Arabidopsis thaliana: one gene and its partners. The protein of the gene in region 4 interacts with the protein of the main gene of each other region in a pairwise test. Each region holds a gene or a part of one and is shown on either strand. Other genes may lie near its edges. The genes, in order: BBX18, NF-YC2, BBX19 and PRR9.

What was found.
Region 1: the proteins of PRR9 (region 4) and BBX18 interact in binary tests that used the Arabidopsis thaliana proteins (3 or more experiments, as listed by UniProt).
Region 2: the proteins of PRR9 (region 4) and NF-YC2 interact in binary tests that used the Arabidopsis thaliana proteins (3 or more experiments, as listed by UniProt).
Region 3: the proteins of PRR9 (region 4) and BBX19 interact in binary tests that used the Arabidopsis thaliana proteins (3 or more experiments, as listed by UniProt).

What each region holds. Positions count from the first base shown.
Region 1 is NC_003071.7:9,124,229-9,128,695, reverse strand, and holds BBX18 (B-box zinc finger family protein), read right to left. Parts: upstream 2,434-4,467; 5' UTR 2,195-2,433; coding exon 2,102-2,194; intron 1,720-2,101; coding exon 1,623-1,719; intron 1,532-1,622; coding exon 1,416-1,531; intron 1,333-1,415; coding exon 1,168-1,332; intron 1,092-1,167; coding exon 1,044-1,091; 3' UTR 709-1,043; downstream 1-708. Other genes in the region: FBA1 (fructose-bisphosphate aldolase 1), read left to right, coding at 2-280. UniProt on the Arabidopsis thaliana protein: Acts as a negative regulator of seedling photomorphogenesis. Acts as a negative regulator of blue light-mediated inhibition of hypocotyl elongation through increase of bioactive gibberellin levels.
Region 2 is NC_003070.9:21,022,256-21,026,475, forward strand, and holds NF-YC2 (nuclear factor Y, subunit C2), read left to right. Parts: upstream 1-2,226; 5' UTR 2,227-2,541; exon of another isoform or gene 2,542-2,849; 5' UTR 2,850-2,862; coding exon 2,863-3,462; 3' UTR 3,463-3,647; downstream 3,648-4,220. Other genes in the region: MYB72 (myb domain protein 72), read left to right, coding at 129-267, 353-482, 568-1,189; AT1G56180 (ATP-dependent zinc metalloprotease), read right to left, coding at 3,988-4,143. UniProt on the Arabidopsis thaliana protein: Stimulates the transcription of various genes by recognizing and binding to a CCAAT motif in promoters.
Region 3 is NC_003075.7:18,159,121-18,163,998, forward strand, and holds BBX19 (B-box type zinc finger family protein), read left to right. Parts: upstream 1-1,967; 5' UTR 1,968-2,455; coding exon 2,456-2,548; intron 2,549-2,754; coding exon 2,755-2,850; intron 2,851-2,935; coding exon 2,936-2,968; exon of another isoform or gene 2,969-3,048; intron 3,049-3,173; coding exon 3,174-3,270; intron 3,271-3,386; coding exon 3,387-3,502; intron 3,503-3,602; coding exon 3,603-3,764; coding exon of another isoform or gene 3,765-3,841; coding exon 3,842-3,925; 3' UTR 3,926-4,201; downstream 4,202-4,878. Other genes in the region: FBA2 (fructose-bisphosphate aldolase 2), read right to left, coding at 4,594-4,872.
Region 4 is NC_003071.7:19,230,550-19,235,835, reverse strand, and holds PRR9 (pseudo-response regulator 9), read right to left. Parts: upstream 3,230-5,286; 5' UTR 2,963-3,229; coding exon 2,776-2,962; intron 2,676-2,775; coding exon 2,514-2,675; exon of another isoform or gene 2,506-2,513; intron 2,417-2,505; coding exon 2,286-2,416; exon of another isoform or gene 2,208-2,285; coding exon of another isoform or gene 2,199-2,207; coding exon 2,079-2,198; intron 1,919-2,078; coding exon 1,647-1,918; intron 1,563-1,646; coding exon 1,127-1,562; coding exon of another isoform or gene 1,100-1,126; exon of another isoform or gene 1,034-1,099; coding exon 935-1,033; 3' UTR 657-934; downstream 1-656. Other genes in the region: AT2G46780 (RNA-binding (RRM/RBD/RNP motifs) family protein), read right to left, coding at 4,793-4,914, 5,002-5,286. UniProt on the Arabidopsis thaliana protein: Transcriptional repressor of CCA1 and LHY, and positive regulator of LWD1 and LWD2 expression. Controls photoperiodic flowering response and temperature compensation. Involved in the positive and negative feedback loops of the circadian clock.

The DNA of each region.
Region 1 (4,467 bases), about 10 Mb from region 4:
GTTCTTGTCTGGTGGACAGTCCGAGTTGGAGGCGACCTTGAACTTGAACGCAATGAACCAGGCACCGAACCCATGGCACGTGTCCTTCTCCTACGCACGTGCCTTGCAGAACACTTGCTTGAAGACATGGGGAGGCAAGGAAGAGAACGTGAAGGCGGCTCAGGACATTCTCTTGGCCAGAGCCAAAGCCAATTCGCTGGCTCAGCTCGGGAAATACACTGGAGAAGGCGAGTCTGAGGAAGCCAAGGAGGGTATGTTTGTAAAAGGCTACACCTACTAAGCTATTTGTAATAATGGTTCCATAGATCAAAACTCAAAAACTTGAGCTTGATTCTGGTCATTTGAGTTATTATACTCTTCTTCAGGTATAAAAGTCAGTTCTGTGTTATCATGTGAGACTAGTTTTGTTTCTTCATGGTTAATATCTTAGTACCTACTCGTTACTACTAATAATTGAGTTAGTAGTCTGTTTCTATCATTGTTATCACTCAAAAACTCTGTCTTTACAAGTTATGAAACTAGTAACATTATGCTCTCTGAGCTCAAAATCACATCTAATGCAGGAAAATGACATTACAATTTATGTTCAAAAAAATGGAGCGAGAAACATCGAAACAGTATGTTGAGACTTGAGTAATGAGAGATTGCAGTTCAAGATCATATGACTCTCAAATTACTCATGTTTATAACTCAGAGTTAACAAAACTAATCAGAGAGAGAAGAAGAAGATAATAGTCATGGCTCATGGTGATCACTTAAACCGAGCCAAGAAGGCATCTCCTTTAATGGCTAACCATTTTACTATTTTCTATTAAAGCTTTGTCTGAATGTGAGAAGAGAGAAAATCATATATTTGAGATATAACTCTGAAGAATCGTTATCCACTAATTGATCATTTCACAAAAGAAAGGAAAAGAGAAGAAATTCAGAAAACAACATATTTGTTTCCTCTAAGCTAATTTCTTCAAAACAAAATAAGACATTTCCCTGTAAAGATACTGTTCTTGCATAGGTTCTTACTTGATCTTGTGTATCTGCGATCACTATTCATGCTCGTGATTGTTTGCGTTATTTACATCAATACCCTCCTCCTTGAAACACAAACAAAACAGCTTTAGAGACACTGAGGCAAGATTGATTATGTTCATCTAGATAAGATACACGTACTTGGTTATGTGATCCAGGCTCGTGTACTCTTTGAGGATTGGAGTTAAGATCGATCATATTATGATCATGATCACCATTCCCATTTGATTCTTGACCACGACCAGAGGAAGCCTTTTGACACCGTAGTCCCAGTTGGTCAGCATGATTAGGCTTATCGCCTGGAAACTACAAGAACACAACATTGTAAAGAACAGTCAATACCACAAATCAAGAATGCTTCAAGATCCTTGCATTTTCAAAAGTCAAACCTCAATTCTCTGTCTCAGTAATAGAAACCGCCTATGTGTTCTCTTCCCACCAACATGTACCACCATATCACATTGTAGACAAAGGGAACTACCATCTATCTCACAGTAAAAGAATGCTGTTCATCGATCAACAACAAAACAAACATGTCAAAAACTGAAACTTCCGCTTCCTCTTATACACTAAAGAAAGAGGAATCATATCAATACCGGGTGCATTTTCGCATATGTCACAGCTTGGTGCATTACTCGGATCAGCTAAGCCTACACGAAGATGCCGACTAGCCAGCTTGTTGCACTTATGAACCTAAACACACAAACAAAAATGTTTCTTTCTTATAACTTATATCTAACCACGTCCTCAATCAAAGCCATTGCAGATAACAAAAAGTCTCATAGCTCTTCCAGCTTCAATAGAGTGACTGTAACTGTAAATAAAGTGTATCACCAGAGAACTGCTATATGCAAAGTTCAAATTATGACAAGCTAAAATCACTAGAATGTTTCTTTAACAATCAAAACACAACTTTTGGTACTACTTTGGCCATGTTCGAGTTATAATAACCTCAAAATCTATAAATTTAGCACTTCAACTAGATATTGTCTCAAAAATTCCAAATTTTTGCATTTGTTGAGATAAAAGTGTTACTTTAAGAAAAATGAGATTTTTTTCAGGTAAAGGTGGTTACTTTTTCGTCGCAGGAGCAACAGAGGGCAGCTTCGTCGGCGGCGCAAAAGACGATAGCGGCGGCGCTCTCACAAGCATCACACAAAATTCGCATGTTTTTTACTCAAACGATTAGTCTCACTTTCAAAGTTAGCATCTTTCGCCAAACCCAAATTCTGATTGTTGAAGCGGAAGATGGAGAGACTAAAGGGTTTAGGATTAATGGATAATACGAGATAAAGTAAGAAGAGGAAGGAGATTTTTTGAATCAAACTAAGAAGAAGAAGAAGAAGAAGAAGAAGAAGAAGAAGAAGAAGAAGAAAGCAGAGAGCAGCAGAGAAATATGATGGATAGATGAATTTGCAGACGCTGCGAGTAGCTTGTATATGTATACTCGCTCTATCTCCCCTTTATTTGATTTCCCTTCTGATGGCCAAAATTAAACATAGATAGGATTTTTTTTTTTTTTTTTTGTATTTGACTCTTTGTCAAATATTTTTTAATCTTTTAAAATTTTTTCACATTTTTAGGAATATGTTCTATATGAAATTATGGGTTTGAATGGTAGGTGAGTGTATACACCATTTTGATTGTTAATTTGTTATTAATTATTTTAAAAGGAAATTGCAGTGTCAAAAATGGTCTCAAAATTTATCATTAATTGTTATTGTAATTTTTTTTGAACTATTCTACTATAGTTTTTGTGTACTTTTGCTAAGCTGAAAATCTTAACACATTCTGAAGTATCAATTGGAGCATATAATATTGAAAATTCAACTATACATTTTTATTAGTAAATGTTGATGTAAAAAAAAAAAGCTTGAATCTTTAACTGTTTTATGCGGAAGCTCTCACTAAATCTCTCTTTGTTCGATCACTCGTGTGTTTAGACAAAGAAAGTAAAACAGACACAAGCAAATGTTAACCCAGTTCACGTTCAGTGATGAACGCTACGTCTGGACCGAGATTACCCGGAAATCCACTAGAAAGCCTTGGTTACACAAACCCTTAGAAACAAGACTGAATAAACTTTCAGCTGCCTCTCTTGCACTTACTCTCTTAACCCTAATGTCTCACTTATCTTCTCCTTTATACAACTCTACTCACCGCCACGCTCCTCTCTCTTCTTCCGTACTCTGTTTCAAATGCAGAGACAAAGAGACAAAATGGTTGAACCATTGGCAAGAGGTTAATTACGTCTCTAGCCTTGATGAGCTGTATGACAAAGCACGTGCGCCTCTCGTGACTTCGTTTCTTTCACAAGCTGAGACCTTCTCTTTGGATTAGAGTCTTTATGACACTTTAGGCAATACTTCCACAAAACTTCACCTTGCCTTAGTGTCAACCTTTCCTTTGCTTCCCTTCTAGTGTAACTTGATTTCCATCTCGGACCATGATCCCTTATCAGGCACTTGTAACCCTGAGCTTCTTCAACGCGCTCAGGAACTTGTTAACCGGTACCACCTTTGTGAAAATATCCGATGGATTATGAACTGTGGATATTTTCAGCACTTTCACTTCTCCATCAGTGATTGCATCTCTGATGTAATGAAACCTTCTCTGGATATGCTTTGTCCTTTCATGATGAACTGCATTCTTTGCTAAAGCTATAGCACTCTGAGAATCACAATGGATATCTACCGCTCCTTGTTTAAATCCCAGCTCATTCATCAAGTCTTTTAGCCAATATGCTTCTTTTGCAGCCTCTGTTAAGGCTATATACTCAGCCTCTGTTGATGACAGTGCAACAACTGGCTGCAAGCATGACCTCCAGCTTACTATGTTCCCTCCTACAGTGAATGTGTACCCTGTGGTCGATCTACTTCGATCACGATCTCCAGAGTGATCTGAATCACAGTACCCTGTCACCACAAAATCACCTTCTCTCTTGTACTGCAGCCTTGAATCAATAGACCCCTTAATGTAACGGAGAACCCATTTCACACCTAGCCAATGATTCATCAATGGTTTACTCATAAACCTACTTATGACTCCAACAGGATGAGCAAGGTCAGGCCTTGACCCGATCATAGAATACATTATGCTTCCCACTGCATTTGCATAAGGTATAGACTTCATTTGATCAGCTTGCTCCTCTGCTTCAGTCTCTGTTGCTGCTACAAACTTCATATGTGGTGCCAATGGTGTTTTAACAGGCTTGCATTCATCCATTCTGAATGTCTTTAACACCTTTTGCAGATAACTTCTCTGAGATAACTCCAAAATATTTTCTTCTCGGTTTCTTGTTATCTCCATTCCCAGAATTTTCCTTGCAGGCCCCAAATCCTTCATTTCAAACTCTGAACTCAGTCTTTCCTTTAATTCCTTGACTGTTTCCTTGTTCTTTGATATGATCAACATATCATCAACATACAAGAGAAGAAATGT
Region 2 (4,220 bases), on a different chromosome or scaffold from region 4:
CGTAAAGAGCCGGGTTATATCAATGATATATATATAGGAGCTCCTGATAATAATCAAAAACATAACATTGCATATATAGAGAAAGATATAGTGAAGGTAGCTATAGAGAAGAAAGTAGTGTAATAAGAATGGGGAAAGGAAGAGCACCATGCTGCGACAAGAACAAAGTGAAGAGAGGGCCATGGAGCCCTCAAGAAGATCTCACTCTCATCACTTTTATTCAAAAACATGGCCATCAAAACTGGAGATCTCTTCCCAAGCTTGCTGGTTAGTATTTATTCACATGCATGTTTCGGTAATACTATAAAGTTTTAAATAACTAAGAGAAATAATGATTGATATATATACATAGGATTGTTGAGATGTGGGAAAAGTTGCCGACTAAGATGGATAAACTATCTGAGACCGGACGTGAAGCGAGGCAACTTTAGCAAAAAGGAGGAAGATGCTATCATTCACTACCATCAAACCCTTGGAAACAAGTTTGTACTCTACCTATTCATCTAATTTCTTTATAATAAGACAATATATAGTATGTAGAGACTAATTGATATATGTGATCATCAGGTGGTCAAAGATCGCGTCCTTCTTGCCGGGAAGAACTGACAACGAGATCAAAAACGTGTGGAACACGCATCTCAAGAAACGACTCACTCCATCTTCTTCTTCTTCATCCCTCTCTAGCACTCATGACCAAAGCACAAAAGCAGATCATGACAAGAACTGTGACGGGGCTCAAGAAGAAATACATTCAGGGTTAAATGAGAGCCAAAACTCAGCTACTTCGTCACATCACCAAGGCGAGTGTATGCACACAAAACCAGAGCTTCATGAGGTTAATGGACTCAACGAGATCCAGTTCCTGCTCGACCATGATGACTTTGATGATATAACCTCTGAGTTTCTTCAGGATAACGATATCTTATTTCCGCTAGACTCTCTTCTTCATAACCACCAAACTCACATTTCAACCCAAGAAATGACTCGAGAGGTAACCAAATCGCAATCATTTGATCATCCTCAACCGGATATCCCATGCGGATTTGAAGACACAAACGAAGAATCCGACTTGAGGAGACAGCTGGTTGAATCAACCACACCTAACAATGAGTACGACGAGTGGTTCAACTTCATTGACAACCAAACTTACTTTGATGATTTTAATTTCGTCGGAGAAGTATGTCTATGAATGTCAATAATATATGCATGACCAGTGTTGTATCCACTTTTGAATGTTGAGTAAATTACTATTTTACATGGATTGCCCATGCATTGAGAAGATGCTATGTTTTATGAGAGCTCTATGATATTGGTTCGTTTTTCGGCTAGATTCACACAAACAACTCTTCTCTTTTCCTTCTCGATCACTCTTATGGCTGCTCTCAGAGTCTCCGTTTTCAGAGGCCAAAACAGGTCGCAGGTTGATGGCTGGCAATGGCAGCATCGACTGCTTCCGGTGTGTCGAGATCAGGCGCCACACCAAGCATCAAGTCCTGAAATCGAATTAGGTGTGTGTAAGTTTCTTAGCCTAGATACAAACAACAAGAAATATGACTCCAACTGTACTCATCATTTCAATCACTTGATATTTGCTTCCTGTAAGGGCTTCAATGTCAAAAGCTTCTGAATTATCCTAAGTCCATACATATTTGAGAGACTGAGACGGTCTCAGTGAGACCAAACAGAAGAAGAAAAGAAAAGAAAAAAACAGAACAAATACTACAAAGAATACACAAACTTTTGATTCTTGCTCCAACCGTTTATTAAAGCACATGACCTGTTTGGGATCATCACATATCACACTAGAATCACAAAAACTACAAATTTCACAGCTCCGAGCACGCAATGATTAACAGAAATCCGACAACTACACCAATCTCTTACAGATTAAAACACAAAGAAGAGAGCTTGTGTAAGTTAAACACGTATGGTAAATACATTAGCAGTAAGAAGATACCTTGGCTTCTGAAAAGTGGAGCAATTGTGGACTTCACATAGAGGGATGGAGGAGACTGTTCTGCTCCTTACAGAACAAAACTAGCGACGACTCTGCACATAATTATCGGCATAATTAAACAAAGTCTGGCTCTTTCGAACCCCAAAGAAGAGTGGCGATAGCAAAGATGGATCCTTTGCCTCTGCAACTTCTTTCGATGGTTTCCTTTCCTCTGCTTCCCGTTTCCCTTTACTCTGTTGACAATTAGGGTCAAGTTTTGATCCGGCCCGGGTGATTTACAGCCCACAAGGTCCAATGGGCTTCTTCGAAAATAAGTTTGCGCGACGTTGCAAATGTCACGTGACTTTTGTTCACGCGCACTTCACGTGTTCTTCGTTATTCTTCGAAACCGTCCGATAAAGAAATTTCTGGAATAACACAACATAACCAATGAAAAGCATACAGGTGGAAGTAACGTAAAAACTCCCGCTTTTTCGACACGTGTCAACTAGGCGGAAGATACGCACCACCAGAAACGCTTGATAAAAAGCTAACCCGCCCCAAACCCATTTATCTTAGGGTTTCGCGAGATCTCACTCTCACTGGTATGTCTGTGTTTCTTCTTCCATTTTCTGTTTCTATTGGAAACTTCTCTCTCCAATTTCGTTTTCTTCACTTCTTTGATCCTTTAGCTTTGACAAAACCGTAGTAAAGGATCAAAAGTTATCATCTTTGGTCCATGTTGTGAATCGTGCTCTGCTTGGGTCGTGACTCCCAAATCCGGATTTGAAACCAGCATATCTGAGCTTAATTCGAGCATGCATGCGCTTCTTTTTTTCTGATTTTTTTTAGACTTTGGTTCTAAATCCCTTAACTTTGGATTAACTGTCAATCTACAATTTTATATTAACAGAGATAGCTTAGCAATGGAGCAGTCAGAAGAGGGTCAACAGCAACAGCAACAGGGAGTGATGGATTATGTACCTCCTCATGCTTATCAGAGTGGGCCAGTAAATGCAGCTTCCCATATGGCATTCCAACAAGCTCACCACTTCCACCACCACCATCAGCAGCAACAACAGCAGCAGCTTCAGATGTTCTGGGCTAACCAAATGCAAGAGATCGAGCATACCACTGATTTCAAGAACCACACCCTTCCCCTAGCCCGCATCAAGAAGATCATGAAAGCTGATGAAGATGTGAGGATGATCTCTGCGGAGGCTCCTGTGATTTTTGCCAAGGCCTGTGAGATGTTCATTTTGGAGCTCACTCTACGTGCTTGGATCCACACCGAGGAGAACAAGAGGAGGACCTTGCAGAAGAACGACATCGCCGCTGCCATTTCCAGGACCGACGTGTTTGATTTCCTTGTGGACATAATCCCGAGGGACGAGCTGAAAGAAGAAGGTTTAGGCGTGACCAAAGGGACCATACCATCGGTGGTGGGTTCCCCGCCATACTATTACTTGCAACAACAGGGGATGATGCAACACTGGCCCCAGGAGCAACACCCTGATGAGTCTTAAAACTTTTCCCCTTTCGTTTGTTTGGTTGTATCGTAGTAAGGTAGCTCTGCTCTGCTGGGAACCATTTCTATTGTGTTCTGTAATGACATGTTAGTATATCCCCAGTCTATATCTATGGCAATGCAGTTTCTGTTCTCATGTGCATTAAATAATAACAAGAATGATAGAAAGAAAATCACTACTAGTAATGCCCAAAACTTTACTTCACAGGAATTCAACTATACAGCTTTCATGTGATTGCTACTTTACAACCATTTTCTTTATGCTATTAAAAGCTTGGCTCCTATTCCTTTAAAGTTTAAACCTTGTCATCCTCCACATCTCCCTTAGTGGATAAAACCTTAACTTACTTGAACATGGATCCAAAGATACAAGTCCCTTCTCGCCATTCCAGTTGCAGTCAGGTGGTTTATATACCGAGATACCGAGAGCTTATCTGCTTCGGTCTCCATGCATTCCAAATGAGTTTTTTTTTTATGGGCTGTCCGTATTAGTAATAAATTACAGAAAATGCTGGTGCTTCAATCATTTGCTTGAAGACATGGCTTCCTCAATCCTTCTAATCACAATGCTAAGAGGACTTCCCACTTGGAGAGCTTCAACAGCGGCCCTATGTGCTGCCTTGTGCCACTTGAGTAGATTGTAAGATTGTAGAACAGACCACCTGGCTTGATTCGACATCTGTATGATCAAACGCACAGATTCGCAATGCTTAACAATCTGTACACTTGTGCAAGAAAAGTGGAAGCACATATTAT
Region 3 (4,878 bases), on a different chromosome or scaffold from region 4:
GATTATAATATATGTACACGCAAAATCAAACATAAAAATAATAGCTTTGTAGTTTTTGAATTCATCAATGGAGAGGGAGACAAGGTCAGTCACAAATGCGTGTTTAAAGGTTAAAAAAAGTAACTTGGAGTTTACTTAGTCAAAACTCAATGAAACCTTATCAATTGCACCAACAGAACATTTAATCATTATCACAAAATGCATCTCAATCTTGAACCAGAATACTAAGATTTTGCGTCTATAAAGTGCGTGTCTTGTCTACATCTCTAACAAGCAAGATAAAGAAACATGCAAAGGAGCTGTTTTTACCTTGTGAGTGAGTTGTCTTCTTCTTCCTCCTCTAAAGGGAATAATGCGGTTCCAGAAAGAATCCTCTTGTGTCTCACTCTTCGCACTCCGAAGCTCTAAACTGCAAGCAAACATCCACTACAGAATTCAGCAATGACAACACAGATTCGAAATTTTGCAATTGTTTTGTACTTCTCCATTAGTGACTTTATCAATGAATGACACAAACCCAAACAACAAAACCAGATTTTGAAAAAGTAACTATTATCTTTTGGGGCACATGAAAAAGGAAAGTAGTCAGAAGTAGTAATCCAAGATGTCACGGTTGAGAGAAACAACAATGTGAAGTTTTCTTCTGAAAGGGAACCCTAAAGAGTGCCGGAATTGGAAACACAACAGTGCTCACCGGAAAACCAAAAGAAAACAAAACGGAAAGATTTGTAAAAGAAAAAGAGAGAGAAATGACAATGTTAATCCCACCCACTTCCTCCTGCTACTGCCTACAAGTTTGGTAGTTGTTTGTTCTTCGTCGTAGTCGTCGTCGTCTTCTTCTTCTTAACTTTTGTCTGAAGGGACCACTCCATTGATTTGGTCCCAAAGATTCTCTCTTTTCTTCTATTCGCCGGTTTCTCAGACTCTCTCTCTCTCGGCTTGGGTAGTTAATGACCGGTTTACCCCTGAAACTTAATTAGGAACCTTAAACCCGCCACGTGGACCTCACACTCCACTTCATCGTAGCCCATTAGTGAGAGACCTTTTCTCCCGGCCCAGAAGGTCATAATGATATTTTGATAACAAATATAATGGATATCTAGCCCAACATTACAAGTAAAGCCCAACATTTAGCAATGATGCACATGGCAGGCAAACTCTCTTCTTTGGATGCTCTGTTTTTTATAAAAACCATAATCTATATTTTCAACAGAAGAGAACATTGTAATTATGCAAATATTGATTCTCGTGTTTATGAATAGGGTGCGTCAAAACTTTTCTTTCAAATTTTACAAATGCCAAAGTGTCATAAAACAAGCTACAAAAGAATGTTTATGGAGGAGAGAAAGAATAAACTTTGGGATGAAAAGAAAAAAAAACTAAGATAATTGTGAAGATGTTAGTTAAATGAAATTGAGAAGATGGGCAAGGAAATAAAAACAACATTAAACCAAGGCCACTAGTAGAGTTTTGAGAGTTGCTTTCAACTACTTCTCGACCACCAATTTTTTAAATGGCTGGTGACATTTGGCCCACCCACCTCTTTGTCTTTTTTTTTAATTCCTTTTGTGGCTCTTATTTTTTCCCCCTTTTTTATTTATTTTAGTTTATATTTTTACTTTTAAAAATAGTCACACGTCCTAAATCTTAGCACATTATGTTGCCTAAAACTATTTCAGCTGCCGTCAAAAAAAGGAAGAAAAAAAATCAGATATAGGATCCAAGAAATCATATAAAGATTGTGACAAAAAAAACTTTTTCACCAAAACAAAGGAAACAAGACAACGAATGTGTTTCAGGGAGACACATCAATGACCTCCCAGATGGCATTGAGTCTTTCGTCTTCACTTTTTAGTCGATATCATTTTTCTTTTTGTCTGATAATGGTCTCTGATATAATGGACTTTAAACAATCTTATAACTCAAAACCATATCCACTATAAAAGATTTGGTCTTCCCAATATTTTCTCCTAAATCATACTACACACATTTCTTGTTAGGTACTACTTTAATCATAATTTTCGTTAGTCAAAACACACAATTAAAGAAAAAAAGTAATTGATTGGAGAAATTTACTCAAAGTAGTAATTAACAGATTTTGCCTTGTCACAGCAAAGTATGCTTATTTGATACTCTCGGCGCGTGGATTTGGTCGTCGTCTCTTCTGGTCTCTCAAGCTTCTCCTCCATCGTAGAAAAAGATTTTAAAGGAGCGATTTTTATAATCTTAAATAATTTCTTCCCTTTCTTCTTCTTCTTCTAGTTCCTTGATACCAACGCGTAATCCTAACCCTTAATCTACTTCCTCCTTAATTAATCAGAGGTTTCTACTTATTATTTCCACTTCTCATCTCTTTCAATCGCAATCTGAGTTCTGGCTAAAGATTTTGTCTTGAAGGTGAGATTCATTGTTCCGAATAGAGTGAGAAAAAGACTTATAAGATTGAAAAAGCAAGATGCGGATTTTGTGCGATGCTTGCGAGAACGCAGCCGCAATCATCTTTTGCGCCGCCGATGAAGCTGCCCTTTGTCGCCCCTGCGATGAAAAAGTAACTTCTCTCCCAAAAAAGCTTCCTTTTTTTCTTTAACTCTCCTCTCTATCTATTGGTTGTGCTCTGATGGGTTCGTCAAAGATCAAGTCTTTGTTATCTCTGTCTGGGAATTCTCAGTTGATTTGGACCTGAGTTGATCTGGCTTTTCGATAACTTTGAGCTAAAGAAATAAGATTTTTGAGATTTGGTTTCTAGATTCTTAGGCTCTTCACATGAGATTAGATATTTCGAAGTGTAGTGAATCCGTCAAAAGAGTTCAAATAGTTGAAACCTCTTCTCTCATTTGGTGGATTAAGATGGTTCAGTTGATGAATTTACATGTTTGATTACATGAGTGTTTGTTGCTGCGGTTTCAATGATTCTACTCTGTCATGTACATTGCAGGGAACGTTTTGTCTCCAGAGTTTGCATTTAGTAGTATTAACTTCTGGAGAAGAAAATAATCGATTTTCTGCTCTTTGCGCTTAATCCTTACTTCAGTTAGATGACTCTTAAGGGTAACACTTTATAGTCCTTCTCGAGTCATTGGTTCATCCTTCTCTACTGCAATAGCTCTTAGTAGTTTTCGGATTTTGATCGGAAATGGATTACTTCAAAGCTTTGTAATGTTTTCTTCTTTCAGGTTCATATGTGCAACAAGCTAGCTAGTCGGCATGTACGTGTTGGTTTAGCTGAACCAAGCAATGCCCCATGCTGTGATATATGCGAAAATGCACCTGGTATGATCTCTTTACAATGAACTTCCCACACTCGTGTTTAATGTTTTCGCATATGTACATATATTGAAAAATGAAGAGAAATCTTTTGTCTGCAATGTTTTTTGTTGTGAGAACAGCCTTCTTTTACTGTGAGATAGACGGTAGTTCTCTTTGTCTGCAATGTGACATGGTAGTACATGTTGGTGGCAAGAGAACACACGGTCGGTTTCTTTTGCTGAGACAGAGAATCGAGGTTTGAATTAACTAATTGTTTCTTTCTCACGCAGACACACAATCATTTTGAGTCGATTTCTTAGTTTTAATAGTCATCTTGTGTTTATCGTTTCTTGTAGTTTCCAGGGGATAAGCCTAAAGAAAACAATACGAGGGACAATTTGCAGAACCAAAGAGTCTCTACAAATGGAAATGGTGAAGCCAATGGGAAGATTGATGACGAAATGATTGATCTAAATGCTAATCCACAAAGAGTACATGAGCCATCATCAAATAACAACGTATATGAATCCCTCTATCCAACATATTCTCAATCTTTGTTTTTGTATTCTCAATTCGAATGTTTCTCAATGAGCAGGGGATTGATGTAAATAACGAGAACAATCACGAGCCTGCAGGCCTTGTACCAGTTGGACCCTTTAAACGAGAGTCTGAGAAGTGATAAGGTGAGAGAGAGAGAGAGAAAGAGACTCTTTACTCTGATTCAAAAAATCAGTTTAAGAAGAAGATTGTAAAAAGTTTCAAGAACTGGAGATTTCATGTCCGTTTTTTTTCCTTCCTTCTGATTCTTAGATCGTTGCTGGTGTAACCGAGCTTTGTTGTTGAAGAGGGAAGGTTTATGTTGTTTGTGCATTATCTTAGTTTTAAGGAATTAGCTTAAGTGCTCACATGAATGTAAGCTAATCTCTGAAATTCTAAATAATTTTATTTGTTTCTGTTTTTTTTTCTTAATAAAATCCTCTGGGAAATGGACGAAAAAGAAAGAAGACGAAAAATTGGGCCAATTAAAAGATTAAGCCCACTTAATATGCAAAGGCCCCATGAGGCTAAGCGTTGTCCTTTGAGAATTGTAAGCTTCGTGGAGACCATTTCCTCCTGTATCCTCTTTGTTCAAAATTTAAAATTGGTTGATTATGGAATAGTTGTAGTTTCAAGTTTAAATAGATCAAGAGAGATAGATAACTTCAATATAATAGAACTTATTAAAAGGAGTAGCTAACGCAAAGTAAGCAGAGAAAATAATGATTTGACATGATTAATAACAAGCAAACTCAAAAACAAATGTGATTAAAACATCTGCTTCATCTCTTTTTTCACAGCATCATCTCTTCAATAGGTGTACCCTTTGACGAACATGCCCTCCTTAGCCTCTTCGGACTCACCCTCACCGGTGTATTTTCCGAGCTGAGCCAACGAATTGGCCTTGGCACGGGCCAAGAGAGTGGTCTGAGCTGCGTTCACGTTCTCGGGTCTGCCGCCCCATGTTTTCAGACAAGTGTTCTGCAACGCACGTGCGTAGGAGAAGGACACGTGCCATGGGTTTGGTGCCTGGTTCATTGCGTTCAAGTTGAGTGTTGCCTCCACCTCCGACTGTCCTCCGGACAAAAACTGCAA
Region 4 (5,286 bases):
TAAAAAAAATCTAAAGTTATAATAAAATATAGGTGTAAAAACATTTTACACTTAAACTAATGAAAATATATAAACATTTTAGTTATATAAATGTTATGGTGAAACTAATTAGTTTTACTTAAAAATAATTTTGAAGGTAAATAAAACAAAAAAAAAAAGAATGAAAAAAGTAATACCTTGTTGGATTTAGTAGCAAAAAGGGCCCATAGAGCAAAGCCCATTCCAAAGTCAGATTTGAGCCCGTCGGTCTTTGGTAGCCCTCTCGTGACATCATCCACCACCATAAAGCTCTCCCCTCTCTTGGCTATATCCTCCTCTTTGTAGTCTCCTCTTTGAAGACAAAATTGTCTTGAGAAGAGAACTAGGGTTGAAGAATAAGAAGAAGCGAGAGATAGAGAGTTTTGATTTGTCGAATGTTTTAGAAGAAGCGTTGAGACTCTCACTAATTATTTATTTATAAGCAAAGAAAAGGAAACTGATAATCACAATTAACGGTCACAAAATCTTAGTTTAACGGTCACAAAAAAAGATTTCTTTGTTGATTTTTCTTTCGATAGCTTTTGTTTCCTTTTTTTGTTTCTCTGACTGTGAGAGAATTAATGTGATGAGTTTTAATACATAGACTATAGCAATGGTATATAAATCAAGTTTTATAGAATCTGTTTCTTGTTGGTATGTATCGAGAGAGAAGCGGCCTGGATATGATCACAACAAGAAATATTTCTCAACTTAACGAAATTGGAATTACTGTTTTAGCTTAGCCTGATCATTTGCAGACATATATACAAAAGTTGCCCCAGTATCTCATATTAGCTGAGAAGAAGAAGCCAATCAAATACATAAAAAAAAAAAGCACACTAAAGATTGCAAAAGCTAAATAAGTTTCTGTTATAAAATCAACAAAAGAAATCAGAGGAAAAACTGAAAGAGCTCTTCATGATTTTGTAGACGCGTCTGAATTCACGGTTCGCACGAACTGGCCTTTCACTCGAGGACGTTGTTCTGCTAGCTTCTTCCTGCTCTGGTACCGAACCTGTAATCCATTTTTATACATCTCCATTGAATCAGTTTGATCTTGTATTTGTTTCAGATGCTGTTTTTATGATGAAGCTTGTGTGTCTCTTACCTTTTTGTCAAAGCATCGATCTTTCCTCTTCAACCGGAACTTCATCAATGCAGCTTCTCTCTGGCTTCTACTCCAACGTTGTTTCGCACTTTCTTCTTCCTTTGGTTTCTCTGTGCTACTGCTTTGTCCAGCAATCCCCTCATTGGTGCTTTGAGAACCAGCTTCTACTTCCTTGCTAGCTGCTTTCTCGCGATTTGATTCTACCGGTATGGGTGAATCTTGCTTCTGATTCGTTACTGTGGACTGAAGAACTTGGTTACGGAAGCTTACGCTTGATGATCCGATATTCTCCTGGTTGCTGCTCGTTGTGGCGCTTCCTTGATCAGATGTTACTTTTCTTAACTTTTCATGTGATTCGGTTGGTGTCTTTGGCTCACCTGAAGTACTCTCCTCTAAAGCAACGACGGCTTTTTCTGCTGACTTGCTTTCCTCAAATCTGCAAGTTAAGTAGAGTTATTGATTAAAAACACTAATTACAAGATTTGAGGCATTCTTTATTCAAGCAAGGAAACATGCATACCTTGAGAAGGCCGACGCATCAGAGAGGCTAAGCTTTTGATGCTTGCTTTCATCTTGGTTCTCAAAACTTACAGAGCAAGATCTTTTCAGAGAAAGTCCAAGCTCAGGACCAACACACTCATCTCGACTCTTGTCTTTATAAATACTATCAGGACGCTTGTCAATTCCACCAATCAAATCCATTGTCACATCAAAAGTTTCCTTAAACTCGTCTCTTTCATCCACTGATTTGCCATTCTCCATCAGCTTATTGTGACCATTGTAATTGATAGCCTGCATAAGCATGTACACGATATTAGCTTCTACTAAAATGAGATAAACATGAGATATACAATGCAATCTCAAGATGAAAATCTCACAACTCATACAAAACACAATTCAGAAGGACCAGAACATATATTATGTAAAACTCAGATGGTAATATTTATTATACCTGAGCACCACTTCCTTGATCTGAATGATATCTGGAATCTTCACAAGTTTCATCAGTATCTTCAAGGTTGTGCTGTGAAGCTGGTAAGCTTTGAGCATGAGCAGTAGGATCATCACGCAACTGATCCATAACCAAAAAAGACAATAAGTCTTTCAAGTTTCAAACTTCAACACAAGGAAACCTCAAAAAAGGAAATAAAAAATTTACAGTCAGTCTTCTCCAAACATGTTGCCATAGATTTTTCAACTCGTTTTTCCTCATTGGTTTGATTAGATAATCAGCAGCACCTCTCAGCATACACTTCAACACCATTTTTATCGAATCTTGAGAAGACATCACTATTCATTTCAAACAAACAACAAAAGCATAAGAACCAAAAAACTAACAAAGAGGCGTTTTTAGAGGTATAAAGGACTTAGGGGATCACCATCGTACTTATGACAGGAATGTTCTTGCAAGCTTCATGCTCCATTACCAAAGCAAGCAGAGCAAAACCAGATATAGATGGCAAATCCAGCTCTGTTAGTATAAGATCAATGTTATGTGACTTCTCCTTTAGAACCTCCCACGCAGCTAAACCATCAGAAACAGCTACAACTGTATTCAATCAAAAAGCATGAACCGAGTTTAATTTCAAACATCAAAACATAAAAATGAAAACTTTAACATAAGCTAATGAAAGGAAAGACCAATCGACCTTTGTAACAGCATTTACGAAGAAGGGCAGTGATGATTTGACGAGTTGAGTAATCAGATTCAACTAACAAAACCCTAAGTACAGTTTTAGGCAAATACTTCTCCCACTGAACAACTTCCGATGACTTTACTCTGTTCTTTATAGTCTCCATACCATCATCACTACTTAAAACCACAATCTCCCCCATAGACTCAGACCTCAAAACAAACTGAATCACAACACTTGGTAAAACCAACAAAGCCTAAAACACACAAAAATAGAAACAAGAATCTAGATCAACGAGCTTTAGATCTTAATCTACCGAGAAATATTGTTTCAGACTGAATAAAAGAGAGAGAGAAAATATCAGATGTTGAAGTAAAGAAGAAGGAAGAAGAAAGTTAAACTCTTTAGTTTGGTATCTTTCGATCACAACCACGAAAATATCTTCTCAGAGAAAGAAGAAGACTTTGTTGTATAAGCTCAGAGCAAATAAACAATTTGAGAAATCTAATTAACGGTGTGTAACAAAGCGGGCCTTCACTGAGCTGACGTGGCTTAATATGAGCCATTGTTTTGATTTTCTCTGTATCGCGGCTGATTCGGTGGAGGTGGTCCTCTGCTTCGCAGGTCCACCTTAACACGTGTCATTAACCTAATCGCTCTACGGAAGTGGAGATATTCGTCTGAATATCTAGTGGTCATGTGGATGACACGTGGGTTTCTATTGTAATTGTGTGGCTAAGTTTGATTTTTGGTTGGATTTAATAAATTCTAAAAGGTAGATTTTTTTTTTTCAGCTGCTCTATGTATCATTCAAATTGGATGGCTTTTTTTGTTCCTTTTTTCAAAAAAGTTAATTATATTAAATGTTATTAAATTTTCAATTGGGATTTAACAAATAGTATTATTTTCAAATATTAAATGCCCACTAGTTTTAATTAAATCAAATTTCGTTAGTGGCCGCGTAAATTTCGACTCCAAATGAAAAATTGGATTTTCTTGAATATAAAAATTTTCTGTGGATAAGAAGGAATTCTAGAACCATCTTAATAAAACTTTGCTTTGCGTGGAAAGAATATCTATCGATCTATGATGTGGACAGTGCGTAATAAACAACTTACCATATTCTTGCGTGTTTACATATCTAAGGCTTTAAGCTTTCTATGGCCAACTTACTTACACATATAAAAATTAATGGGCTTTATAAGAATTTAAGCCTTAGATTTTCAAAAGCCCATAACTTATGTATTCTCTATGTTTTGTTTGTTTGGTTTTTATTATAAAATTGTTAAAAGAATAGTAGAAGTGAAATATTATCCATTGACGAAGAAAAAGATCCGTTTGATTCCAACGGTCTTTTGACCGGTACTTTTGTCTTCATAAGATCCCCTTTGGAATCCAAAGACAATAATCATTTTACTCTCAGAAAATGATCATACGAATTCAAAATAATTATCAAAAAGGTTCAATCTTTTTATGATTATAAAACACGAGAAAACTCCAGGTGAAAGTGATCGATGAACGGATTCTTGGTTGATCAAACATTTTATAATCATAATAAACGAACAAATATAGTAAGAAGAAGCAATGTGATTGAATTATAACAATTTCAAGAATTACAAATGTAAAAGAAATGATTTTAAGCTTATCCGAAGCTTAAAAATCCTGTTTAGGTTCAAAAGAAGACATAAAACATTTCTTTTGAACCTGAAAAATAAAATTCCCCAAATGAATGTAATAATCTGATGATGCTTTCTGCACCAATCCAAGTTTTCTTAAGAATCTAAAAGAAAGCCACCAATGCTTTCTCTTGATTCTTTTACCTAAAATGCAATTTGAAACAACAACAAAAAAAAAGAAAGAATGTGATGATGGTTTCTTCTTCTTCTTCCTCCTCCTAAGTACTAATTAAGATTCTAGAATCCTAAAAACGATGGATGAATGAATGTTTCTAGAACGTTGTTGGAGAGATTTGATGATGAGTTAGTGTACAATGAAGTTTGTCCCTTCTTCTGGCTATTGTAGTAGTTCTGAATCAACCCTCTATCTTGATGGTTGATGTTGTCATTGCTTCATTACCATCTTTGCTGCTAGCTTCAGTTTCTGCTTTCTTTGTTGCTGTAGTTATAACTACTGTTTTTGTTGCTGTTGTTGCAGCTAATACAAAACAAAACAAAGAATCAAGCATGATTCAAAACAATGTGACAAATGGTTTTCAATGTAGATTGTGTTGTGAAATCAAACCTGAGGTGGAAGTTGAAGAGGACGGTGATGATGATGAAGGTAAAGATAGAGCCAGAGAGGTTGGGAGGGAGAGGATTGGAGGAGGAGGTTGCTGAGAGCTAAATTGCTGCTGAGAACTGAAGTGTGGCTGGTGAGGCAAGTAAGGATATTGCAGCAGAGGAGGAGCAGGAGGAGCAGTGTATTGAAAGCTGAAACCTTGGTGATGTTGAGCTTGAACTTGAGCTTGAGCTTGATTGCTACTTTGTGCTGCATTGTATTGAGGATAGTAGGGATAAAAACCATGGA